7 linked regions of the Coturnix japonica genome follow. The protein of the gene in region 1 binds, or shares a complex with, the protein of each later gene. Links are inferred from orthologs where the notes say so. Each region holds a gene or a part of one and is shown in the gene's direction. Other genes may lie near its edges.

Region 1 (4,080 bases):
ATTGAACGTCACCACCAAAAGCTGATGCAGCAATTTGTGCAAGAACAAGAGATAAAAATAGAACGGTTTAAGAAAGCAGCCGAAAGGTTTGAGAAATCCCTGGAGGTGATCAGCCGCAGAGGTGGAAAGTCGTCTGCCCCTGCTGCTGCCGGCCAGGCTGCGAGCACAGGGACTCAGCACAACGCTGCTGAGTGAGAAGGGATTGGGAAGAACATCTAGAGAGCTCCTCCTGCAGGCTGTGCTGCACTGAAAGCTGCGTTTTCCATCTACGTGCTTGGATTTTCAGCTCATCCTTCCTGAAAGCCAGCCTGCTATAACAATAAACAACACCGTCCCTTGCTGTCGGGTGTTCCTCCTTTTATATACATGAAGCTGATGTGGTGTGGGGGCACTGTCTGGGTAGCAGCGCAGGTGTAAAGGGGAAAAAAACCCTTCCAAAGGATTGCTTTCCTCTGAGGCAATAGAAAAGTAATGTAAAGCCAATAGAAGATATTTTGGGGCTTGTGTCTTTCCTTTTTGGAAAGGATGCAAAACGTGTGTCATGGCTGCTTGGATCAGAGAGTCCGAGGGTGTAAATGGATCCTTCACTGGGAAAAGGATTGGTAACTTAAGGCACACACAGGACAGACAGTAAATTGCTTCTTTCATGCTGGCATTGGAGATGGGCTGGTGTTTGCCTACATCAACTGGATGGAGTGGATCTAAGAAGTGTGCTGAAAAACAAGGAAGTGGCAACAAGCAAGTAATGCAGCACAGCTTTGGAGGAGCCTGGAGGTTGTTAGACTGGGGTGGCTTGCACTGGGTCTTCCTTGTTGGAAAACACTGGGAGAAATTGTCATTTTGTGAGCTTCTGAGTTTGATCTAGACACATGTGTGATCAAATAGTGCTTGTGTTGCATCCTTTGGCACGCTGGGTCTGGCTGATTCCCAGACCTGGTTGTGCAGAGTTTGCTGCAAGGGTTTCTGCTCATCAGAGCCTGGGAGACGCTGATCAAAATCACATGCTCTGATCTCAATGCCCTGACACCTCCATGCAGTTCTGCTGCCTGCATCCAACAGCAGAGGGTGCTGGTGGCTGAGGCTGGAGCCAAGGGCAGGATACATTCCAACATCAGCCAGCATTGACACCCAGCCCAGGACCCAGCTCCCACCTGTAACAGCGAGCAGACAGCATCTGGCCGGAGCTGTGTGTACAATTAATCCCTTCCTTCACCAAACAGGCTGCAGGGACACAAGGACCCGGGGCACCCTTTGCTTTCTATGGCACTCCGAGTGCCACCGCCCCTAAGATGGCCACACAGCTACGTCAAGGCCTCTCCTCGTTTTCTATTGAGTAATAGCGCTGCCCGTCAAGACAGCGAAGGCGCTGAGTGGTTCGAGTCGTGATGTGTGTCGGGAAAGAGCCCGCAACAAGCGGAATCCTAGCAACAGGGGGACTCCGGTGGCAGCACGGTCCGGCTCCATAGCGGCCTTCCTTCGGCTGGAGGCCGCACGGCGCTGCGAGCCCCCAACCACAGCCTTGGAGCACTGCAGAGATACAGCCTGATCTGCCACAGCTGCTGCTTAGGAGCTGGGAGCTCTCACCGCACCGGCTTCAAGGCCAGGAGCCCCTCATGTCCCCCCTCCCCACAGGGGTGCTCATGGCCCTGGGTGCTTGACAGCATGTGATATGACACCCCCCCCAGCACCCTAAGGACGCTGTTTCTCTCATATTCTCCTCACATTTTCCTTTTAGAGATCAAAACTAAAGAGGATTTTGCAGCAGAAGCAACAGTGGTCTCTCACTGTGGGCCTTGCCCCGTGTAGGAGATGCTGTGTCCCTTCTAGACGTGAAAACAATTCACTCCTAAGTGTTTAAGTGTGGCAGCAGGGAGCCCAGCTGTGCTCTGAGTATCAGTGCAGGACACGAAGGAAAGAAACAAGATCCTGATAATGGGAACAGAGGCTGCAGAGAAGGCGATGACCACAGTGGACTCCATGAAGGGCTTAGATCCACGCCGGTTGAAACCTAATTGCTTTGAGACAGAGAGAATCCTATCTGTCTTGGATGAGACCATCGCCAAGTTGGAGCTGAGCTCCTTGATCCCACTTATTATCGGCTCTCTGGACAGGTTTGCTGACCTGCTGGGACCTGAGATCACAACCAGCCTGATGGAGTACAAGAAGCTTTCAGACCAAATGGAGCTGCTGCTTGTTGCTGCTGAAGAAGGGGACATCTCAAAACAGGAGGAGCAAAGGGTTGCTCTCCATTTGCTGGAACAACAACTGAAATGTTCTGTTAGGAATATCCTCAGGCTCTTCTTGGCCGTCCCTTCACTTTGTAAGGCTCTGAAATATGAAGTCTGGGCAAGAGAGCCAGCAACTGAAGCATTTATCAAAGCCTTCAGGGAGTTCAGGAATTTTATGCTTGAGCGACTCCTGATTAGTCCCAAGGAAGAGGAAGAAACAGTTCAGCTGGTGGAAGACGTCTCCCTCCGGATCAACAAGAACACTGAAACCATCACAGCTTTGCAGGCAGAACTGGCAGCAGCAATCAGGACCCGAGATGAGGAGGTATATGAGAATGCTTGGTGACAAAGGGTCGCTGAAGCAAAAGCTGAAAAACAAGCCCTTTCTGACAGGTCCTAAAGGGGAGATTCCAGAAATGATTTCAAAATCGGATTCTAAATAGAATTTGGAAATGTTTCTTGAATGCTTCGTGTTGAAACTTGGCATGTTTTGAACCTGTTCTCACCAGCCAACTTCAATGGAGCAAGTTATTGAGCTTAAAAAGGAGCTGCAGGACAGGCACAAATGACTGCAGTAGTATTTTAGCAGGGCTGCCGTGCCAGCTGCCAGGGAGAGGCTCCATTCACTGCTGCTGACATGATGAACAGTCATTCCAGGGAGAGATTGTTCTGATTAAAATCAGTTTTTCATGCCAGCTCTACCTTCGCTCTTAAAACTAACATTTGTGAGACTTCCAACTCCAATACTGGCTACCTTGGAGATCTATAATGAATGTGTGATGACACCATTTCTTTTCCAGTGAAGGCAGCTGGATGGATTAGCTAATGGGCATTTCCCAGGTTCTTTTTGTGAGTCCATGAGCTGAGCCAGAATTCAAGTCCTGGATTCCTGACAAGCCATCCCTTGTTTTATGTGTGTGCTTGTCTTCTTTCTGCAGGAGGGCTCAGAGGGGAAGGTTTTGTCTCGTGCTCATTGCACCGAATGGTTCTGATGGAGATGAGGTCTGTGAATTGAGACACATGAGATTTTTACGTTCACTTTCTTACCAGTGCATAACAAGTGTGTTTCACTGCCCCCAGCTGAGGATCTCTCTTGCTGGCAGCCCCTCTGAGCTGTGTCCTCCAGGCAGTCAATCCAAGCCTCACCTGAAGCCAAAGGGATGATCTTGGCTCCTCTTGAGACAAGGCCGGCTTCTTTACCCTGCAGTGTCAGTGAGTCTCAGTACAGCCTGGTCATTCTATGGCTTTATTCTCAGGTTCAAGCACCTTGCATAAATCTGACTCTGTTCCCTCATCTGGTCGTGCCAGGTCCCTGTTCTTAGATCACCTCCACCTTTGCGACTGTGTCTTTTTCCTCCTGACCACTTTATGCTTCACCTGCACACCCTATTGACATTTCCTTCTGGTTTTCTGTGTCTAGATCCAGAACAAGGACAATATGATCAAAGATCTCAAGAACAGCATGGAAACTGTAGATGAATGCAGCAAGGACAACCTCCTGCAGATCAAGTTGGAAGGTGAAAAACAGCAGAAAGAGGAGCTGCGAGCTTCCCAGGCTAAGTGTGCCAGGCTACAGCAGGACATTCAGCAGCTGGAGGAACAGCTCAATAAGCTGATCCTGGAGCATCGAGTATCAGAGCTGGCTCTCAGGAAGGTAAATGGTCAGAACTGTTGTAGAGCTGCTTGGTGTGGCTGCAAGTGTCTATTTTGTTCCTACCATTTCCTGGCAGGATGCACACGCTGTTTGTCAGAATATACCTGTGCTGTCCTCGTGCTCTGCTGATTTCAGCAGAAAGGAAGCCTGCAGTGCTGCTGGGGAAGTCGCCTGCTCACAGTTCCTCCTCTTGTTCCC
Region 2 (4,085 bases), on another chromosome or scaffold:
AGCCAATGGTAGCTACGCAGCAGTCTCCTGACTCTGCCTTTTCCTTCCTCTCTTAGATCCTAATGAAGGTAGTGAACCAGCTTTGTGACAAGTCACCTGGCACATCAGTCCTGCTGCTCAGCCCTCAGGATTCTGGGGAGGTGCTCTGTGCCTGTCAGGTGTCCAAGGTAAGCAGAACCCTGGCAGAATCCCAGGGAAGCCTTCCTGCAGAGGAGGACTGGGTACACTACTCACTAGGTCCCAGCTGAATTTTTTCTTGGGTTTCTACCCAGTGTCACTGATGAGTTATGTTGAGGAATGACCCAAGATGACTGTACTGGGGCCAGATAATCTTTCAGTTTTTGCTGGGCACCAATATCCCTGGGTCATCCAAGACATGTTTGCCCAGTGGTAGGATGTAGAGCTAACACGTAAGCTCAGTCTCCTCTCAGTCATGTCTTCCCCAGGTAGCGAGGGTCCAGGCTGGGTGAGGGGAGAAAGATGTTCCTTCTTCCATGCTGCAGAGTGCTCCACAGACCAAAGTGTGTGTCTCTTCCCCAGAATTGCCTCCCCATGTTCTCCGCTGCTGACTGGGCCGTGGCTGTCTGTACACAGATGGAAGGCAAGGCAGGAGGTTCTCCTGTTGTCGCTAAGGGCAGTGGAAATGCCAAGGGCATGCAGGGAGCCCTGACTACTGCACTGGAATTTGCTCAGAGTAAACTCTGAAATGTGTGTGATGCTTTGGTGGCAGGACAGCTGTAAGCTGTGTGGATACTTGATGCAGAGTGCACGTTATACTGTGCAGAAGGTTTGACAATTCTCACAGTGAGCCCTGCTGCAACCACTGCATTGGAGCACTTGGTGTCTGGCCATCAGGGCTGAGCAGTGTCTGTTCCTGAAAGCACTGACAGAGCAACGCTGTATGTTCTCATCATGGGTATATGGTGATTGAGCCTCAGAAGGCACCAGCTTCTGGAACAGTGCAGTTCTTGCCACAAGACCAGCACTGGGAGGTTCTGAGAACATGACTGTCGTATCCCAAAGTTATTAAAGGATGGAGAGTGTTTGATCCCTCTAATGTTATGTTGGTGTTTTGTTTTTCTTCATATCCGCACCTTTTTCCCTGTAAGCCCAGAAAGCTTATATATGCTGTAAAAATAAATATATGCTGTAGTCTAAGCAGTCCCATCTTGCTAAAGGATACACCAGTCCCTGATAAAAATGCTACAGTAACTTAGAAATGGGAAGAGAAGTTCTTGCCTGTGTGCACAACCTTTTGCCTAGCCTATGCAATGGTTAGTATTGTAGTCAGGCCTTTTTGTTAAAGCACAAAGGGAACAGAATCATCCTGACCTCCACCTCTTTGCTCTGAGTGCACATTCTTACACATTTCTTACTTCTGCTCCTTTTTAAATCCTTTCCTCTCAGGTTGCTTCCTCAGACTTCCATTGTTAGAATGACGCCTGGAGTTCTTGGCCAGAAAACCTTTGTGTTACAAACTGGCCTAAATAGAGAGGTCATGGGTGGTAGCTGATAGGGAGGTGCAACTGGGTAGTGATACAGAAAGGCTTCACCCTGTGAGCAAGAACAGCAACCTGGCACAGATGAATTTCAGCAGCAGATAGGGCTGCCTGGTGTGGTGGAATTAGGAGGCAATAGCTACATGCTTTAGGGGGTGGGAAGAACAGTGATGTTAGTGGGTGAGGAGCAGAAAGAGGGTAGTTATGTTAGGATGTTTGATGCTATGGAGGAAGGGTACCCCCACAGTGGTGAGGCTGATGAGCTAGGAAGTGAATTTTTAGCAGATTTGGTAGACTGATACAATAAGCTTCTGGTAGCTGAGAGCAGACTGTTAGGTGGCCGAGGTAGGCAGGGTTCTAACAGTGCTGCATGGCTGGAACAGAACTGAGCTTCACGTGCATGACCCAGCAATAACCCTTTGGTCAGAGGGATACAGCAGTGCACTTGCACACAGCTGCTACTCTCAGCTTAGGTTTGTAGGGCAAGCTCAGCAGGCTGATATATTTGCCTGTTGCTCAGTTGTCACATAAATAAGGCAAAGTAAAGAAGATATAGTGGGAAATGACTGCTGTGAGCACGGCCTCCTCTCCTCAATGAACAACAGTTGACCCAGGGGAGAAAGGTGGTGGATTTAATTGTGTTTAGAGGATGAGGGATTTCCTTCCTCATCTCAGCAGCTGTCCAGTCCCAATTCTAAGACTTAGTGTCACTCCTACACGTCTTTTCTTAGTACCTGTGGCTGTGTAAAGAGCAGGAGCTCGCACTTGGTTAAGTGCCTGATATTGATATGAGGTTGGTGGTGCTCCATACTATCTTGCGTTTCACCATAGTGCTGACAGCCCCTACATCTGCAGCAAGAGGATAGACCTTCTCCTCCATTAATCATTACTTCCATCCAGGGAGTTTAAGGTAGAGCTTTTAGTAAAGGAGACAGCGAGCCGAGGTTCCTGGACATCAGGATGACTGGGACAGTTCACGCCATCGGTTAAAAATACTGTTAATGCCTGTTGTGGAACAGCTGCTGTGTTTCATCCCAGCCACAGCAGTACCAGGTATGGGGAAGGGAAAGGATGCTCTGTGTTACTGGGAAAATGCTTTTCTTGATTGCTTCCTCATTCATAAAAGCTGCTGCTAGAGATGATGCCTCCTCTTGGTACTGGAGAGTAGGTGTGTGAGGAGGAGGAGAGGCTGAGCTGCTTCTGCATCATGCTCCAAAAGCAGAGCCTGAGCTTGCCAATAGCAACCTTATGGATTTAACCTCCCTTTGTGCTTTTTTTGTTGTTTAATTTCAACTTTAAAACTACTGGCACCTTGTAAATTGTTGCCTCACCCCTTGATGTGCAGGGATCCGTGTGCTGACCTTCAAGGTAATGTCTCTGCAGGCAGAGAAAGTGCAAGTCAAGCCCCCACCAGTGTTCACCTGGCCAGCCAATGGCTGCTGCAGCAGTGACTTCCAGAGCAGTGGTGGTGTCCTCAGGGGCTTTTTGAAGGACTCCTCTCCACTGCAGGATCTGATGGGCTCTCAGCACTGGGGAAGGAGCCTGCTGAGATGAGTGGGCAGCAGTGACACAGCTTCATGGCTTCCTAGCTCTGCTATCCCCCTCCTGTATTCTATGGGAAGAGTGGCTCCCCAGATACAAGGTGGCAGAGCCAATCCCACCATGAGAAATAAACCCTGGGTGTCCTGAGCAGAGGCACTAAGGAAAAGTTTCCTCTTTCTGAGCCTGCAGGGATTTAGATGGGTCATCAACAAGGTTGCAGCACAACCAAGTTGTGATCTTGCTGTAACTCTGTAGCACAAAACCTGCTATGTAACCGAAAGAGAGAAAGCATCTCATCCTACCAAAGAGCAGCTGTGTGGAGGCACCGGTTTGGTAGCATGGGCTGCTGCAGTAGAAATGCTGGTTTCTGAGATGTGGCTGTGCTGGACCATCACTGATCCTAAAAGAATAAATTCCATGCTATTCTCCTAAATCCCAGTGTACAGGACTACATCCTCTTCCTGCCATTTTTATTCCACAAGACAACACGCATCCAATGCTACGGACATAGCCACCATCTTTCTGTATTTTAGCAGTAGGTAGAGCAGTGCTCAGCTAGGAGAGCTGGAGGGGATGAAACATGAGTTTTAAATATAGATCTCTCGCCAAAATAGCAGCTTGCATTCCCTTACTAGAGATCTAAGGTGCAAGCAGTTCTCTGTGCACGCGTTGCAACTCCAAACAGCACGGGCTGCATGCACACACACACACACAGGACAGTGAAAAGCAGGAACTAGTTAATAAGTGATGAGTTTTTTTTTGCTGTGAACAGGTGCTGTCAAGTAGGCAACTGCTCTGTAAGTCCAGATGGACCCCCAAGGTCCTTGAAGGGCGCATGTGAGTGCCGGCCCGAATTCCAGGCAGCTACCTGACTTTGTGTGAAGGACCAACCACACACATTAGGCCTTGCCTAGCTGGAAGAGCTGCACAGATGGGATGAGAGCTGGGGCTCTGCAGGCTACATAACCCTCTAGCCTAGCAGCCATGGGTCCCTGTCCTGCTCTCTGATAGAGCAGCAGACCCAGCACAGGGCTGGGGTTGCAG
Region 3 (2,348 bases), on another chromosome or scaffold:
GCAGGAGACAGTCCCTGTCCTCTCTCTGCACTGTTACATACCTGGCTGTGTGGCCAGTCCCCAGCATCAGCACACTGCAAAAGCACCTCAGTCTGCTCTGCTGTTGGCTGCGCCATGTGGAGAGCCGGGCTGTGACTGTTGTGTCAGCTGTTCCCAGCACACCCATGGCTGCGTGGTGCCGCAGGGCACTCCGGCTCTCCCTGGAGAGTGGAGCGTGTGGGCGTTTGGCACTGATCTCTCGCTCAGGTGGAGACTGTTTCAAGGAGAATGACCCCAGGCAGCGCTGCTCAGGTCTCTGTGCTGACAGGTGCCATGTGGCATTAGGATGTGCTGCTGAGCTGTGGGCTGTGTGCACGGCCCATCTCAGCGACCCTGGGCACTCCGTGTGCAGGGAGCCACCTCTGGTGAACCTCAGCCGTGCCCCTCCTGGCCTTGCTGGCTGCAGAGGCAGCACAGACAGGTTCCCAGCAGCTCTGCAATGTCTGGCATGCTAAAAATACATAAGCAGAGAGCCTTGGCGCGGTGTGGCGGCTCAAAGACCCGCATTCCTAGAGCGTGCAGCAGCAGTAACTGGAGAAGCAGCATTTGCTTCACATTGGCTGGAGACACAAAGGATGCAGGTTTCCTGCTCGGCTTTGCCGCTGCTTCCCTGGTGTCCTCCTGCTTGTGCTGCTCCATTCCTGGTCCCCTCAGTGGGTGATGGCGGTGCTCATGGATTCATGGACTCCGTCTTGCCAGGGAGCTCTGGTGATGAAGGCAGCAGCAGCCCCAGGCTTTCAGTCTGTGTGACAGGACAGTGGATTTGTCACCTACAAGCAGGTGCCGCAGCAGCAGACTAGGAAACACATTCCTGGGAAGGCGTCGAGGCGTCGCGCTCTCCCACAGCTGCTGGGGTCCCTGAATTCCTTTGCTCAGCTGCCTCCAGCCACCGGCGTCATCCTGGGGAGACTCTCCCTGTAATTCCCCTGGTGCTGTGGTGGCGGGGAGGTGCTGCAGGAGCAGGTGTTGCCATCCACCCCCCCTTGCAGCGAGGCAGGTGATGCTGATGGTGGGGCTCTGCTGCCATTCCTGCTCATGGTTTGGGAGGTCCCTGTGCTTTGCATTTGCCCAGGGCTCACTGTCCCTGGCAACGCTGGCTCCAGGGTGGTGACTGTCTGCCCAGCCATGTCTCAGTGCAAGCATCTGCTCAGTGTTCTGTGCCACATGCTCTGGCCTGCAGCGTGGCCCCAGGCTGATGTGCCCTTGGTGCCAGCAACCCAAGTCTAACGCATCTGTCTCCACTTGCAGGATGTGCTCAATTCTAAAAACGCCACCATTGAGGACCTGCAGTACCAGCTGGCCCGAGCCTGCAAGGTGAGGAAGGGGTCTGAGTCATGCTGTGTTCCTGGGGCTGGGGGAGCAGAAGGAAGAGCAGATGCCTTCCCTCCAGACCTTGAGCAGAGGCTGGCAGCTCTGTTTGGTGCCCTGGATTGCTGGCCCAGCCTGCAGTTTTCCCCATTCCCTCATTTCCCTGTGCAACAAGGCCTGTTGGGGGGCCCCCACCATTCAGGAGACTGCAGGGTGCCCATGTCCTGGCAGGGAGGGCCAGATTTTGGGGTGGCAGCCCAGAACATGGAGCATTTTTCTTCCAGGCACACAACGACATGCTGCAGACAATGGAGGCAAAGCTGACATCCTTTGGGATCCCGCTGGACAACCTGGGATTTAAACCCCTGGAGAGCCCAGTGGTGGGGCAGACAGTGGGGCAGGGCCCTGCAGGACTCGTGGCAGTGCCCACGTGACACCACGCAGCACCCACAGCTGCTCCCAGCAATCGACCCGAAGGAAAGCAAATATTTTCAGACTGGTGGTGCTGTTTGAGTCCTTTAATAGTATCAGTCAGATTCCCCGTGGCACTGGAGTGAGGATGTGCCTTGCCCTAACTGCCCCGGTACGTTGTGTAGGAGTAGGGGCTGATCAGCAGTGGGACGTGCAGCTTCTGGGCTGGGTCAGTGATGGTGAAGACGACCTGGGGGAGCGAAGGGAGGTGGCGGGTGGGTTAAAGTCGTGGCCAAAAGCAGCCCCTGCTCAGCCTGGAGCCTGGGCATCCCTGTAAGCAGTGCTGGCGGTGCAGCAGGAGCGGGGCTGAGGACTGAGGACACAGCACCCAACCCCCTGCAGCTCCTGCAGTGACCAGAGCTGGCTCCTGGCAGCGCCCCAGCCCCCTTGCTCAGCCCTTTGGTACCTCCACGAAGGGGTAGAAGCTGGTGTACCCCAGGCCCTGCCAGTAAGCCGCCGTCTCGAAGTGCAGTTTATAGGTGCCAGCCTCAGCCTGTCCAGGGGGCAGGAGGGGCAAACAGCGCCCATCT
Region 4 (3,712 bases), on another chromosome or scaffold:
CCCATCACAACGCAGATGTTTGAATGCATCAGGAATCCAACCAGCACGCATGTTGTGCACACGTATTTGCACCAACGCTGTCTAACATTTTCTGTCTGCATTGATCATAGGATTTGAAGAGGAAAACTGACGAGGAGATCCGAGTGCACGTGGAGGCTGAAAACTTCCTGAGGCATTCCCACAAGGTCTGGGTGACTTTCCCTGTTAATGCTTCAACTGGCAACAGATAAACATCACATTGATTCATTTCTAAAGAAAACCAATTATTGCTCCATCAACCCAACCGGGTTCCTGATCGTTGCTGGTTGGATTCCTGCTTACCCTCAAGCCCTTAATGAACCCAGCTGTCCCATATTTGTGATTTGCCACATTCACAGAATCACAGAACGACCTGGGTTGGAAGGGACCTCAAGGATCATGTAGTTCCAACCCCCTGCCTGGCAGGGCCACCAAACATACACCTTTACTAGATCAGTTCGGATACATTCGGATACACTGCCTTAAAATTACTGCTCATACAACGACTAGCATTGCTTATGCCAAAGTTACAGGTTTCCCTTCCCTCAAACAGCCACATTCAGCTCAATGTGGATTTTGTTTAAGCCATCTCTGGCGGTAACTGGGACTTCCTCTATATCCCAGAACCACATTTGATTGGTGTTTCAAGGCGAGTGGGCTACCTGAGCAGCAGCCTCTCTGCACTGACAGCAGCTGGTGGCCTCGCAGTGGCCCACACAGAAGATGACCTCGCCCCCATCTCCCTTGTGTGTCCAGCTGTGATGCTGTCACAGCACTGATGCTTTTCCTCATATTATTCCTCCATTCAAGCAGCGATGGCTGTTGCTATGGCGAAATCAGTCATGAACAGGAGGAAATCAGCAGCATGGTGCTTTCAGAAACACCTGCCGTCCTATTGATGTGAGAAACAAAGCCAAGTTCACAACCTGAGAAAGCACAACCTGAGAAAGCACAACCTGCTCTCCCTTGGGACCTCATTCCTGGTGCACTGAGTTTAATCCAGAAAGTGGCCAGAGAGACACGTGCAGGATAAAAGCTTTCTGACTGTGAAACTCCATCTCCTGAACTCTTCTCCCTGTGCACACACACAAAGAATGGCTCCTGGTTGTCATTTACTTCACCAGGATTGTGCACAAATGTAACCCCCCGTGCGCTGCCATTCTTCAGACCCAGACCAGTGCTGCTGCCCTCATGGTGGTCCCCAGCATTGTTACTCCTAGCACTGTGATCCTGCCAAGGCTTAGGTGAGAAGGAAACAAACTGTGCACATTTGATGGCATTCTTAGCCCCATCCTGAGCGCAGGCATGTCGCAGCAGTAAACCTTTCCCTTGCCACTCTTTGTACCCTGCTAAGCCCCACTCTGTCCCATTGCAGAAGGTGCAAGAGAAGCTGGAATACTGGATGGAAAAGTATGAAAACGACACAGACGCTAAAGATAAAGAACTCGACGACCTAAAAGAATCAAAGGCAAAGAACTTGGAAATGCTGCAGAAATTTGCCAGTGAGGTAAGACAGCAGCAGCTCAGTGCTGGCCCCTGCAGAACCGCATCCTGCCTTTTTCATACCATCATTCTGATAAGGAATGAAAGCCATGGGGAAAAAACAGCAGTCGTGAGGTATTGGATGGGACTTGAAGTTCTGGGAAGGTGTGACATCACCTGTGACATCAGGGATGGATGATGTAATTAATGCATGTAGTTAGAAAACCATTAACTGCAGGACTCTGACTGCAGATGCACTGCCAGAGCAGAACAGGCAGCAAAGTGTGTAGAAAAAGGGGGGTCAGAAGAAATTCACTTGTAGGCATTCCTTACTGTCACTGCTCTGAGAGGCTGAGACTGAGTTAGATGTTCCCCTGCCTGTGGGCTCCATTTTCACTCCGTTTGCTGTCATCTCAGTGCCCCAAGTGTTTTCACTCATCATCTGCTACCTGTCCTGGGGGAACGTGGATCCTTCCTACTAACATCTGTTGCTCGAGACCCCACCAACCAGCCATTTCACAGCACAGGATCAGAAGGTTAATTAGACACAGGCCATGAGCGGTTTCACTTTGGCAGCACCTCTCGGTGCCTTAGGACTGGTGGTGGTAATGAGCAACATTTGCCATCTGGATTCAGGGAAGATCAAATAAAGGAGGTGGGGGAGGAAGGTCTGTGTTTACCCATTAGCCGTGGGCTGCCGCGGGGCTCCCAGTGCTCCCTGGATGTGTTTTTCATGTGACTGCTGAACTCCTGTGCCACTTTGCAGTGCTGGACATTTGAGGAAACCATCATTGCTGACCGGGCACGAAGAGAGGCTGAAAGACGAAAACGAGAGCAGGATGAGCTGGAGTTGAAGAGCATCCTGAAGGTAAAAGGGGGAGCAAAGCTGAGGCAGTGCTGCTCCACCAGCAGCTTGGAGTTATTTGCACCACAGGCTTTGTTCAAGCAGAAAATGGCCTGAGAAAGTTGGCTGGTGTGAGGTGGCGCAAGCGAGGGACAGATTAAACTTGTTCCTTCTCCTGCAGCAAAGACAAAGGCTGCAGTGAACTGCAGAAGGGTTAAGAAGGAAACAAAAGACAAAAAGCCAGTCTGAGGGATGATGTGGAGCTGTGCTCATCACAGCAGCCCCTCTGCATGGGTGACACAGGAATGGAGTTACAGAGCTGCTCCCTTCCTCTTGCCACCTCTACAGATGCCCTTGGCTTACACATGGACACGTAGGCCCAGCTGCTGCTGCATGGGCCAGAGGTTCCGTCCTGCAGCTGAGGAGTTACAGGAGGGATGCTCTGTCCATTCTCTGTCCAGGTTCCCTCTGACACCTCTCTCTCTCCTGCTTCCAGCTGCAGGCCTGGTGGAAAGGTACAATGGTCCGCAGAAACCTCGGCCCCTATCAGAACCTGCCAAAGGCTCAAGACAATGAGCAGGTAGATCAGAAAGGCACAAAGGAAAAGCCCGGAGCAAAGAAAAAGACGCGCTAAGAAACCTGGACTTGGATGTACTCTGGGGCTGCTGCTGGGTAAGGCACTGCTGTCTGTGTCCAGCAGCACAAAATAAACCGTGGAATAGAACTCGGGCTGTTCTGGAGAACAGAGTTCATGACGCACAGTTAAGGTGAAGCTCCTGTAACTTCAGACCCCGAGCAGTCTTTGTACAGCAAGAACACCTTTTCCTCAGTAGAAACGGAAACTGCATTAAAACAGTGAGAAACACGATATCCTCTGAAGTTTTTTATACAGCTAGTGAGCAATTCTGCTAATGGCGCAGTAACTCAGCAGCACGAGACGCTCTGCCCTGAGAACCTGCTCCGCAGTCCCGCACAGCACGGTGCTGGCTGAAGCAATGGGGTTTGCTGTGGCTCCCAGTGGGGCAGGAAGGCAGGTCACCCACATCTGGGCTCAGGCAGCGCTCGCCCCGGTGTCAGTGGCAGCATTAGGTCGAGTCAGGGGAAAACTGCTGATGGTTTGCAGTGTAAACATGAGGGCAGTCAAAGCACGCGGGTTTCCATTCCCACAGTACTGCAGAGTGTCAGCACATAGACAGAATAGCTCTGAACACCCTCCTACAGAGGGAAGCAGCCATGGAAAAAGACAGCTGATGTGCCACAGCTGCACCCACCACCCTGTCTGCAACAGCCACGTGGGGAGCCCAGGCAGCAGGCGGGGTGCAATGTCCTGCTTCACTTAACTGAGGGGGCAGCCCCTGCTCTGACACT
Region 5 (3,500 bases), on another chromosome or scaffold:
CTGTCCTCCTCCAGGAGCTGAAAAACAAAGATGAGCAATACGTGCAAACCATTAAGAAGCAGTCAGATGACATCCACCTGCTTTTGGAGAGAATGGAGGAGCAGACCAGGATGATGTTACGAACTTACCGTCACAATATCCATCAGATTGAGGTAGCCAGTTCATTCGGTAGAAGTAGAGTTCAGGGAGAAAGACTGCAGCTGTTCCCTTCTCCATATCTGTTGCCAAAAGGCCTCAGCCTCTTTCCACCAGCTGGGTTGATTACTGTCCAGAGCAGAGAGCTGATGTCTTGATGAATGAAGCTCAAATCTGGCCAATCAAGAGCACTGAATGATGCTGGGTGCTGAGGGGCTGCTTTATACGATGCTGTGGATGACTTTGGTTCAGCACAGAGAAACATGGTAACATTTGAAAGCTATTGCTCTTTCATGGCTGGTTAATTGTCTTGCTAAAAGCCAAGAAGGAGCCTTGTTGGTCATAATTCTTACCTTCTGCAGAGCATGGAAAGTCACAAATCAGTGTTGTTGAGCGAGGGTTCAATATCAGACAATGATTTCCATTGAATTCACAGAGCTGCCACCAAAAGCAGCTCTCATGGGTTAGGGTGACTTACAGCTGTCCCAGTGGGCTCACAATGTCAGATCTCTGCCATTGAGAGGAGACATCAGGCCTGTGTGTATGTTCATTAGACAGGAGCAGCTGTCAGTCCTCTCCTGGTGTGGACTAGAACGAGGCTGGCAAATTGAGGTGCCACTGTGATGGTAAATGGCTCTGTCTCCTTGGCAGAAAACTTTTGAGCACGAACGGCGAGAGCTGCTGGACAACAACAGGAAGAAGTGGGAGGAGGCCATCCAGGACCTCAACACAAAAGAGGTAAAGTCCCCATGAGATTTATAAACTCTGATGGTGGCTGCTTGTTTAGGTGCATGGTGGGCAGAGGGGCAGGTATTTCAGCCTGTTTTGCCAGGGAATAATCCATGCATGACCTTGCTTAGTGCTGGCAGAGGGAGCTGTGATCATGGGAGGAAGCTGTCACCTCTGATGGATGATATTCTTCTTTTGCCCTTAGCTGGAATACCTACATTCCCGTGTGAGCAAGATAGAAGAGTTTGAGAAAGAGCTGAATCAGCTGCGACTGCGGGATGAGGAGGAGTATAACAGCATGAAGATTCATCTGGAGAATGATGTGCAGGTACAGAAAGGGCTGGTGTGTGCCATGTGGTGTGACAGTTGAGCAGACCACCCTGGTTTGTTCATTGCTCTGGAGGGCAGCTGGATGGTGTGTCTGGTATCTGATCACCTCAGCTCTTCAGCATGCACAATCCAGCTCCATGCCAACAGCATGATGGAGCTTTTAGTCTCTCCTCTCAGTGGGATCCACAGCACAGTATCAATGTGCCTTTGGCTTCTAAGCGGTCTGTAGCAGCTCTAGGATCTATGAAGCAGCTGGGAGTGTTGAGGGTTTTGCTTCTTCAGAAGTCAAGTTTGGTAGGAGGATCAAATAGTGTGAGTGTTTTGACACCAGATCATTTCAGATCAGACTAACTGCCTCCCTTGCAAAAGTCCGTGGCCTAGGAGGTTTGAGTTTTTGCCTCTGACATCTAGCCCTGGGCTCATGATTTCTCTAGTAGCCATGAAGTCATAGAATCATAGAATGGCCTGGACTGAAAAGGACCACAATGATCATCCATTTTCAGCCCCCCTGCTATGTGCATGGTTGCCAACCACCAAACCAAACTGCTCAGAGCCACGTCCAGCCTGGCCTTGAATGCCTCCACTTCTGCTTCCTTGGCTAAGCAGAGGACACAACCACAGCTGACACCTTCCCTGCTTGTTGTTATTTGTTGTTTCCCATGCTGCATGGTACAAACAGATTTGCATTTGACTTAGTAAGGCTCATTGCTTATTGTGGTTTCACCCAGCAGGCAGCTCAGCACCACACAGCTGTTCACTCACTTCCCTTCAGTGGGGTGGGAGAAGGAATCAGGAAAAGGTGAAACTTGTGATTGGCATAAAGACAGTTTAATAGAACAGAAAAAGAAGGGGAGATAATAATAATAAAGAACATACAAAGCAAGTGGTGCACAATGCAGTTGCTCACTACTCCCTTATCCCCTCCACTTTTGTTGCTGAGCATGATGCCATTTGGTATGGGATATCCCTTCAGTGATTTTGGGTCAACTGTCCTGGTTCTTTTCCCTTCCAACACCTTGTGAACCCCTATTCTCCTCACTGTCCATGTGGGCAGCAACAAGAAGCAGAAAAGTCCTTGGCTCTGTGTAAGCACTGCTCTGCAACAACAACAACATCAATGTGTTATCAGAATTCTTTTCCTCCTAAATCCATAACATGGCACCATGCCAGACACTACAGAGAAAATTCACTCTGTCTCAGCCAAAACTAGGGCAGTCCCACATGATGTTTTCCTAGGAGGCCTGGGGAAATACAAGCTAGGAGCCGTGTCTGCAAGGTTTTGCAACACAAACAGCAGGTGAAACATTGCTGTCGCAAGGTCCCTGTCCACTTGATAGAGCAATTCCAAGGGGACAGTTCAGATTCTGTGACTTCATATTGATAACTCGGGCTGATATAGATTGTGTAACGTTCACAAATGTTTCTGAGCCATTTAGGGTGGGAGAAATGTGCCTGGGAAGCTGGGTTTGGAGTTACAGGTTTGGAGTTACTTACATTACTGAGTTATAGTCAGGCTTCTCTGTGTCCTTTGCTTACAGCACAGCTTCTTTCCATGTTTTCTGAATTGACAGAACCTGGAGAGGCAGATCCAGCATATGAAAGCTGTCTATTTGATCAACCAGGAGAAGCTGGAATACAACCTTCAGGTGCTTAGGAAGCAAGATGAGGAGAACACCATCATCAGGGCACAACAAAAGAGGAAGCTCAACCGGTAAAAAACCATCCCTGGAAAACGAACAGGCTCTGCTTTACCTGCTGCCATCTCCTAACATACCATTTGTTTTTGTGGAAACCATCACTAGCACAGGATTGAGCTCTGACCTGCCCCATCCCTGGGCAGGGGGAGAGTTTAGTCCAGGGCAGCACCATCCCCAGAACAGTTTGAATAATCTGGCAGTGACCAAACTGTGCCAACTAGGTGGGATTCAGTCAGGTCTTGGTGCTGGTCACTAGCAGATGGGTAGCTCCAACTCCCAAAGCCTTCATACATGTGAGATTTGCCCTAAAGTGCCTCTTTGGGAATCCCCAGCTTTGCTATCCCTCTCCAGGCTCAACAGCTTACTCAGTAATCTGAGAAAAAAACTGGTCAAACAAGAGAAGCAGTTCAGAGAGGAGAACCAGAGTCTTGTAGCTGAGTGCGAGCGCATCAACGGACGATGCAAGGATGTGCAGAGAAAGATGAGGTGGGCTGTGTTTGGAGGCCTGGCCATCCATCTGTGATGAGGCTTCAGAGCATTTGAATGACATACAGAGGGGGGCTGACTCATTTATGGACACAAAAGCTGCTTCTATGGGCTTTCTTTCTC
Region 6 (3,481 bases), on another chromosome or scaffold:
GAGATTTTAGTTCAAAATGATGTAGTCTACATAAAATTGCATTGTACTATTGGTACAAATAATATCAGCTTATAATAATGAATTGTGGTAATGTCTAGCTATTGTATTTTTAGTGTGAATCAGAATTATTTTGCTATTTCAACTCTGAAAATATTTTATGTACAAACAAGGTCCCAGCCATTACTTTATCTGAGTTGCAGTTGCTGAGAAGCAGTTTGTTAAAGCGTATTTTTAATAAGTTGTATAAATCAGCTTCATGTTCATGTCTCAAAGTGTCTGCCAGGTACAGCTGAATATACACAACTGGCACTCTGCTGGTCTAAAACATTTGCTGATCTACAAGTCTGGAGAAAGAAAGCTGTCCATTATTCAAAAGTACATACAAATCTTTGGATGTACACAGGAACTTGTGCTCTTTTGATATTTTGCACTAAAAAGCAATCTTACCTATAGGGAGTTTTAAAGGTAGTAGCCAAGGGTTTAGGGAGACTTAGTCTTGTCCATAACCCAGAAACTATTCTGTATACAGAGCTCTTTTGGTGTTCTACACATGAAATAGCTATGGGATTTCCCTCAACTGTCTCACAACATCCTGATGTATGGGACGCTGGGGCTGTGTTGAATCCTTGTGCCCATGCCTGGAAAGGGACCAATCGGTGTTTGGTTCCTGCATGCTGGCACAAGTGCATTGCCTTCCCAGTCTTCTGCACCTTTGCCTTCTTTGGCCTTCATTGCCCATTTCTGGCTTCACGCTGGTGTTCAACACTTCACAAAGCAATGCCTTTCTGCCCTGGGCTCTCTCCTCTTCCTCCACCCCATCCACACAAACACACACACAAAAACACACACTTTTCCCAGGCTAGCTCAGGCTTGTCAAGACTCACATTTATCTTTTGGTGCCATGTTTATAGTTCACTTTTTCAAGTGCACTTGAGATCTGAATCACAAAGAACTGTGTTTTTAAGATAGAAAAAGACTGAAGTGGGTCTGGATGAAACAACCAAGCATTTTAAAAAGAAAGCTGTGAAATCAGGTGCGCTTAGACACACATATGCACCTACTGCTGCTTTCTCTGTGAAACTGTTGCCTTTCGTCAATAGACTGTCAAAGTCCCACTAGGTGATCTGTTGCTTAGCTACCGGCCTACCTGGACAAAACTTTGTTTTCTTGATTTGGCAATTTTCTGTTCCCTGCATTTGCTATGTGGAGTGATTCAGCAACTATTGATTCCTGCTAACTCACTCAGACAGCTCAGGCATGCAAAAGCAACTCATTTGGCTCCTTAGCACAAGGAGAATCAAACAGAAATACAATGAAGAACACAAGGGGTGAAGATATGGGAAGTTCCATGAAGTCAAACTGGAATTAAATGTTTCATAGACAAACTAGAAAGTAGGTTTTCCCTCTCTAGAACTCATACTTTATTGTTTCAGAATAATGCAACAGCCTTACAAACTTTAACTCTTTTCTGATTCAACGGTTTCAGCTTCAGGCCTATTCCAGAAGATGTTCTTCTACATGCGTTTGAGGTCTGTAACTAAGTATTCAGGTACCTAATTGCTGGGGAAAAAAGTAGCTGATTCTTGATGTAATACGATTAGAAGCACAACAGTTTTATCCCTTTTATTTAAAGGCTTTAGATGAGAATAAAAATGGATACATTACTAAAGAGGAGCTGGTAAAACATATGACTGAAGAAGGTAATATGATTTTTATAATATTTCTGTTTATGTAAATAAATATTACATATATGTATGGCACCTTGTGGTCCTAATTCTTCAAGCTAAAACTTGCAGGAGTCTTCAAGCAATCTTGTTGCCTTTATGAGTGTCTTACAGACTAGAACATTTCCCTGGTGAACAATGTAGGGAAAGAACATGTATCTGCCTTTTTGCAGATATTGTAAGATCTTATTGTTATGGAGTCATAGTTTAGTCTTGTGTGAATATTTTGTGATTCTGTGCACATTTATGTGCTTCATAAAGATGTGACTCCTTTTCTCCTCACTCTAAAACTTCAGTTTAGATTTCCAAATGTTTCAGGTAATTTCAGTACTCATTCATTCTTGCATTATCTTGATCTTAATTCTAGTGTCCTGTGCAAACAAGGAGATTCAAAGACCAGATTTAAGTTGTATATAGTGTAATTCTCAGTATCCCATGAAGAGCCTGCTTTTCTTGCATGGCTGATTCATACCTGCCTGCCTCAAGTAGCAAATGACAAGCATGCCGTGTTCAAAACTGGGTGTTTTGGAGCTTGTGAACTAAATGTGGATCAAAAGATCCAAGCCCTGTCTTCTTTCTTGGACTAGCTGGCTTGGCATTGAGGACTTCTGCATTTGTAGAAGTGAAGGAATTGGATTCTTTTTTCCTTCACATAAGCCCTGAAAAAATATCCTTGCAAGAGAGAAGTAGTAATTTGTCAGCCCTGAAAAGAATAATTACCAAGAAAAAGCATTACTTTCCTTTCTTTTTCAGGTGAACCGTTTACTGAGGAAGAAATGGAGGAGATGCTTTCCAGTGCTATAGATCCAAAAACAGATGCTGTTCATTACAGAGACTACATTTTAAAGTTGTTAGTAGAAGATGCTGATGATCTCCCACAGTAGACTCTGAGGTGCCTTGTGGTAACAGCAGTGTAGCTTAGCAGTTGGCTGAAATTTCAAGTACAACAAAACACAGTGTGTGACCTTGCACTTATAATTAAAATAAAATCTGTGTAGTTTTATTTCCTTAGTTTCTGTATATATTTTGAAATCTATTCACACTTAGCATAAGAGTTCTTGACAGAAATATTGTGTGAGATCTGGAAAAGGAATCATGGAATTTGGTTTGAAAAATAATGGAGTCAAGAAATGACTTTACAGTTGTTGCTGCAAGATTAACAGAAAAATGAGACCTGGGAAAACAAATGCTCAGTGAGTATTTTAAGATGACTGAATTGTGAGGGCATGCTACTATGATAAAACTTTTGTATTTAAATGTGATCCCTGTTTGTGTTTTAACTAATGAGGCATTGATTGGAATACTGTGTCCAGTTCTGGGCTCCCCAGTACAAAAAAGACAGGGATCTCTTGGAAAGAGTCCAGCGGAGGGCCACAAAGATGGTGAAGGGCCTGGGGCATCTCCCCTATGAGGAGAGACTTAGGGAACTGGGTCTGTTTAGCCTTGACAAAAGAAGGCTGAGAGGGGACTTGATCCAGGCTTATAAATACCTGAGGTGTGGGAGCCATAGTGGTGAGGCTGGTCTCTTTTCAGTAGTGTGTGGGGACAGGACTAGGGGTAATGGGATGAAAGTACAGCATAGGAAGTTCTGCACGAATGTGTGGAAGAACTTCTTTACAGTGAGGGTGACGGAGCACTGGAACAGGCTGCCCAGGGAGGTGGTGGAGTCTCCTTCTCTGGAGATATTCAAGACCCGCCTGGATGCCTACCTGTGTGACGTGGTGTAGGGAGCCTGCTTTGGCAGGGGGGTTGGACTC
Region 7 (3,500 bases), on another chromosome or scaffold:
AGCTGTTGTGTCTTTCAATTGCTTGCTTGACAGAGCCACAGTGTGTGCATTTGTCTCAAAACACATTGAGAACTAGAATGAAACTAGGAAATTATGACCTGGAAAGTGTGTGTCAGAGGAAAGAAAAATAGCTTAACTGTGATTTGGGAAGGAAATTTTCACAAGGCTCCCAACTGTTTTGTTCTGGCCTCAAGCTACTGTTCTGCTGTGCTGACAAAGTGTCCTACAATGCTGTTACAAACAGGTTCCTCTGTCCAGTCAAGTCTGGATTGGAGAACAGTTGAGAGAGAAAACCTGACATCTGCTGGTACGGCTCAGACACTTCATCTGCCACGGCAGAGCCATGCTATGGCCTTTGGGTCAGTACCCAAGGTGCTTTTTTTGACTCCTTCCTTTTGTTGGGGAATCTGGGATATTTTGTTGTGCTCAGCTTACCTTGCTCCATCAGTCTGAGATGCATCTCAAGGTAACTTCGAGCTTGAAGAGCATGCTCAGCTCCACAAATGGGAGTCTGTATTGCTTTAAGCAGCTTTGTAGTTGTTTTTTTTTTTCTCAGGGTCCAACCGTGGGCCAAGGCTTTAGGAGTAGCTGTAGCAAAAAGGCCCAGTTTTTGTCTTGAGCTTTGATTTAACTCTCTGCAAATGTTGCCATTTTTCTCTGTGGTCCAACTCACTTCCATCTCTTTCTCTTCATTCAGCAAATCATGGAGCGTTTCCACAGAAACCTACAAAAGCCTGCTGATGAAGATGTAGCAGAACGTGTCTTTCTGCTCGAAGAAGATGTGATCCAGCTGATATACCACCTCAAGAATAAATACATCACAGCCTCAAAGAAGGACTTCTTCAAACCAGCAGAGAGCTATAGGAAGCAAAGTGAAATCATGACCCCAGATATGTGCGTCACATACCAGGTATGGAGAAAATCTACCTATATCAAGGTGCTTTTCTGGGTCATGGAGACACAAAGGATAGGTGTAATGTCAGTGGAAGCATGGCATGGCATATTCACGCTCAGCCTCTCCTCCATCTGCTTATCAGGTAGTTTATATGGCCACTGAGATCTTGCAAGATGCTGATTCAGCTGCTGCTTGTCTCAATCCTGCAAATTCGTTGCAGGGAAGTTGAAATTCCCTTTTCTGTTCTCTCTTTAAGAGACTATAGCAGAGAAGCAGAGCAGATTTTAACTCAAATTCTGCCATGGATCACAAAGCCTGGGTCACACTGTTGTTTAAATCACCCCCAGTTCACTCTGCAAATTCAGGCAAGGTACTGAGGCTTTCTTTATTGCTGATAGGTAGGTAGACAGATAGCCTTAAATAAAAGATATCCCCAAAAAGGAAAGTGCTGTCATTAGGCCAAATTCTCTCATTCATGGAGGGGTCACTTCATTAATGTCTCTGATGTGAGTTTGTAGTCAGAAGCTGATGTCTGCCTGTACATTGTGATGCTGCACAGTTACACATAGGAAATCAGGTTACAAAGATATAAACGCAACGAATATATATTTCTTAATTTATATTTCTGGTGTGGAGATGCAGTTGCTGGAGTGCTGTTGTTTCATCTCTAACCCTGTATAAACAGTCTCAGCCAAATAACAGGAACATCATCTAAGAGATGCAGGACATGCAATCTGGCTGACATTACTGATGGACTCAAAGTCTAGGTGAACTGCAGTCAACTATTGACAATGGGTTGGATGTTTTTATGGTGTAAAGCAGTGCCCTTATATTGACTTAGCAGAATGGTGCCAGTTCATATTTGCAAAGTACTTGGTCCCGTGCACCCAGACAACAATACTGCCTTTCACTAGCTTATCTGCTTCCAGGCGGGGTTCCCTGAGCAGCGCACAAAGCTGGTCCCCCTGTATAAATTGTTGCAAGAGCTAACAGAGGAAGAGAAGCGGATGAAGCAACAAGTCTGGAGATCTCAAGCAGAGGTAATAGGAAGCTGTCCTCACTGCTGTCAGGAGTGGAAACTGGTTTCATTTAACAGATTGCTGAAGCCTCATTCAGCTTAGGCTGTGATAAAAACAAAACTGTGGTGTTGTGAAGCTGGTCTGCATGCTGAATGACCAAGTTTGCAACCCATCCCTTGTTCAGTACAGGTCTTGTATATGGAGAGAGACACACTTTCCCAGTCTTGCTCTGTTTGTCCTCAGGGATGGAAATGGTTTCAGAGAGAAATAACAGCGTGTGAATTGAGGCATCCAGGAGTAGATCTGTTTGTTTTCTTGCCTGGGAATGAAACAAAAAAGAAAGGATGTCGTATGTAGTGTAATCTAATTGCAAGACATTTCCAGGAAACCATAACAATAATATCAAAGTTGTGGGGGTTTTTTGGTCGGAACAACTGTAGGGAAATAGTCCACAAAATACATTGCTTGTACTGTTACACTGTGACTGCTGTAACAAATTCACATTCTTAGAAGTTTCTGTCGTCACTTCAGGATAAATTCAGTCATTCCAGCAAGTGGAGACAGAGCTATTGGATTTGGTTGGGTTTTTAATTGTTTTTCTGTGGAGGAAAAACCCCCTGGGGAGGAACGCATAATAACAGCATGCAGGATATTCAGAATAGCTGAGAAAAAGCTTGCAATGTTCTTCAGAATTGTGAAGAGTGTAAACTGTGACCTCCTGAATTACCTCACCAGATTTCTTAGTCTTGATGTATTTGCAGACAAAACATCCCTGTTGTTTGTGCTGTGTATCCTGTAGAGACAAAGCAAAAAGCCAAAGCCGTCATCACAGTTTCAAAACTATCAGGTTGACTTAGCAGTATATGAACGTTATTCATAAAGGTCTGGGATATATTTAACCTTGTGTTACAGTTGTGGTACGCAAGCAGCTGCTCTGTTAGCATGTAGAAGTGCTGTCACTTAGTGGGGAAGCTGAGTTGTCTTTCTTCTGATTGTTTGGAAGGTGCTAAAGATTCTGGAGACCCGTGAGAGTGAAGAAGCAGACATTAAATTGTCAGCTTCAATATATGACACAGAGAGGAATGAAAAGAAAAGACAAGAGTACGAAGCCATGGTAGGTGGACTTTACTAATCCCAGTATTAATTACATGCATGCAAATTAATTAAATCCAGAGTAAGCGTTTTCTGTCTGACAAATTAGCTCTGAAGATCTTTTAGTGTTATTAAGAGTTATAAGTGTTATTAAATCCCTAGCAGGTACAAGCTGAAAATATAACATGGCCATGTTATGACCTTCTGGCTCTCTGGAAAACCCCACATGAGAGGAAAAAAATGATGTTGTTTTACTGTATTTAGATAACAACTTAATAACTAATCCTTGTTAATTATTTTAATAATAATAGGGATTGGGGGGGGGGAGGGGATAACGGAGTCCAAGCTGCATCGTTCTAGCCAGGTCTATTTTCACTAGGTCTATGTGCACATCTTTGCATGCTTCATTCCTCTATGAATCAGTTGGGGTTTATTTTGTTCTCATTATCACTTGCAAAGGCAATTTTGTTTCAGGGTCTCTCTCAGGGAATTAC

What was found.
Region 2: IQCD (region 1) and TCTE1 share a complex: the UniProt entries of both Homo sapiens proteins name them as parts of the nexin-dynein regulatory complex. The link is inferred for Coturnix japonica from reciprocal best matches to the Homo sapiens genes DRC10 and DRC5.
Region 3: IQCD (region 1) and GAS8 share a complex: the UniProt entries of both Homo sapiens proteins name them as parts of the nexin-dynein regulatory complex. The link is inferred for Coturnix japonica from reciprocal best matches to the Homo sapiens genes DRC10 and DRC4.
Region 4: IQCD (region 1) and IQCG share a complex: the UniProt entries of both Homo sapiens proteins name them as parts of the nexin-dynein regulatory complex. The link is inferred for Coturnix japonica from reciprocal best matches to the Homo sapiens genes DRC10 and DRC9.
Region 5: IQCD (region 1) and DRC1 share a complex: the UniProt entries of both Homo sapiens proteins name them as parts of the nexin-dynein regulatory complex. The link is inferred for Coturnix japonica from reciprocal best matches to the Homo sapiens genes DRC10 and DRC1.
Region 6: IQCD (region 1) and EFCAB2 share a complex: the UniProt entries of both Homo sapiens proteins name them as parts of the nexin-dynein regulatory complex. The link is inferred for Coturnix japonica from reciprocal best matches to the Homo sapiens genes DRC10 and DRC8.
Region 7: IQCD (region 1) and DRC7 share a complex: the UniProt entries of both Homo sapiens proteins name them as parts of the nexin-dynein regulatory complex. The link is inferred for Coturnix japonica from reciprocal best matches to the Homo sapiens genes DRC10 and DRC7.

Annotation. Positions count from the first base shown.
Region 1 is NC_029530.1:9,594,600-9,598,679, reverse strand, and holds the start of IQCD (dynein regulatory complex protein 10), read left to right. Parts: upstream 1-1,280; 5' UTR 1,281-1,932; coding exon 1,933-2,553; intron 2,554-3,648; coding exon 3,649-3,882; intron 3,883-4,080. UniProt on the Homo sapiens protein: Component of the nexin-dynein regulatory complex (N-DRC), a key regulator of ciliary/flagellar motility which maintains the alignment and integrity of the distal axoneme and regulates microtubule sliding in motile axonemes.
Region 2 is NC_029518.1:27,141,813-27,145,897, forward strand, and holds the start of TCTE1 (dynein regulatory complex subunit 5), read left to right. Parts: upstream 1-1,285; 5' UTR 1,286-4,085. Other genes in the region: AARS2 (alanine--tRNA ligase, mitochondrial), read left to right, coding at 57-167, 541-705. UniProt on the Homo sapiens protein: Component of the nexin-dynein regulatory complex (N-DRC) a key regulator of ciliary/flagellar motility which maintains the alignment and integrity of the distal axoneme and regulates microtubule sliding in motile axonemes.
Region 3 is NC_029526.1:16,813,775-16,816,122, forward strand, and holds the end of GAS8 (dynein regulatory complex subunit 4), read left to right. Parts: intron 1-1,287; coding exon 1,288-1,353; intron 1,354-1,631; coding exon 1,632-1,781; 3' UTR 1,782-1,848; downstream 1,849-2,348. Other genes in the region: 5-hydroxyisourate hydrolase-like, read right to left, coding at 1,919-2,008, 2,225-2,348. UniProt on the Homo sapiens protein: Component of the nexin-dynein regulatory complex (N-DRC), a key regulator of ciliary/flagellar motility which maintains the alignment and integrity of the distal axoneme and regulates microtubule sliding in motile axonemes.
Region 4 is NC_029524.1:13,164,054-13,167,765, reverse strand, and holds the end of IQCG (dynein regulatory complex protein 9), read left to right. Parts: intron 1-110; coding exon 111-185; intron 186-1,393; coding exon 1,394-1,525; intron 1,526-2,266; coding exon 2,267-2,368; intron 2,369-2,840; coding exon 2,841-2,978; 3' UTR 2,979-3,212; downstream 3,213-3,712. UniProt on the Homo sapiens protein: Component of the nexin-dynein regulatory complex (N-DRC), a key regulator of ciliary/flagellar motility which maintains the alignment and integrity of the distal axoneme and regulates microtubule sliding in motile axonemes.
Region 5 is NC_029518.1:96,158,169-96,161,668, forward strand, and holds part of DRC1 (dynein regulatory complex protein 1), read left to right. Parts: intron 1-14; coding exon 15-152; intron 153-786; coding exon 787-873; intron 874-1,069; coding exon 1,070-1,192; intron 1,193-2,765; coding exon 2,766-2,905; intron 2,906-3,242; coding exon 3,243-3,377; intron 3,378-3,500. UniProt on the Homo sapiens protein: Component of the nexin-dynein regulatory complex (N-DRC) a key regulator of ciliary/flagellar motility which maintains the alignment and integrity of the distal axoneme and regulates microtubule sliding in motile axonemes.
Region 6 is NC_029518.1:31,158,854-31,162,334, reverse strand, and holds the end of EFCAB2 (dynein regulatory complex protein 8), read left to right. Parts: intron 1-1,486; coding exon 1,487-1,529; intron 1,530-1,633; coding exon 1,634-1,700; intron 1,701-2,477; coding exon 2,478-2,608; 3' UTR 2,609-2,981; downstream 2,982-3,481. UniProt on the Homo sapiens protein: Component of the nexin-dynein regulatory complex (N-DRC), a key regulator of ciliary/flagellar motility which maintains the alignment and integrity of the distal axoneme and regulates microtubule sliding in motile axonemes.
Region 7 is NC_029526.1:1,949,762-1,953,261, forward strand, and holds part of DRC7 (dynein regulatory complex subunit 7), read left to right. Parts: intron 1-540; exon of another isoform or gene 541-697; coding exon 698-910; exon of another isoform or gene 911-1,824; coding exon 1,825-1,935; exon of another isoform or gene 1,936-2,233; intron 2,234-2,641; exon of another isoform or gene 2,642-2,767; intron 2,768-2,917; coding exon 2,918-3,028; intron 3,029-3,500. UniProt on the Homo sapiens protein: Component of the nexin-dynein regulatory complex (N-DRC) a key regulator of ciliary/flagellar motility which maintains the alignment and integrity of the distal axoneme and regulates microtubule sliding in motile axonemes.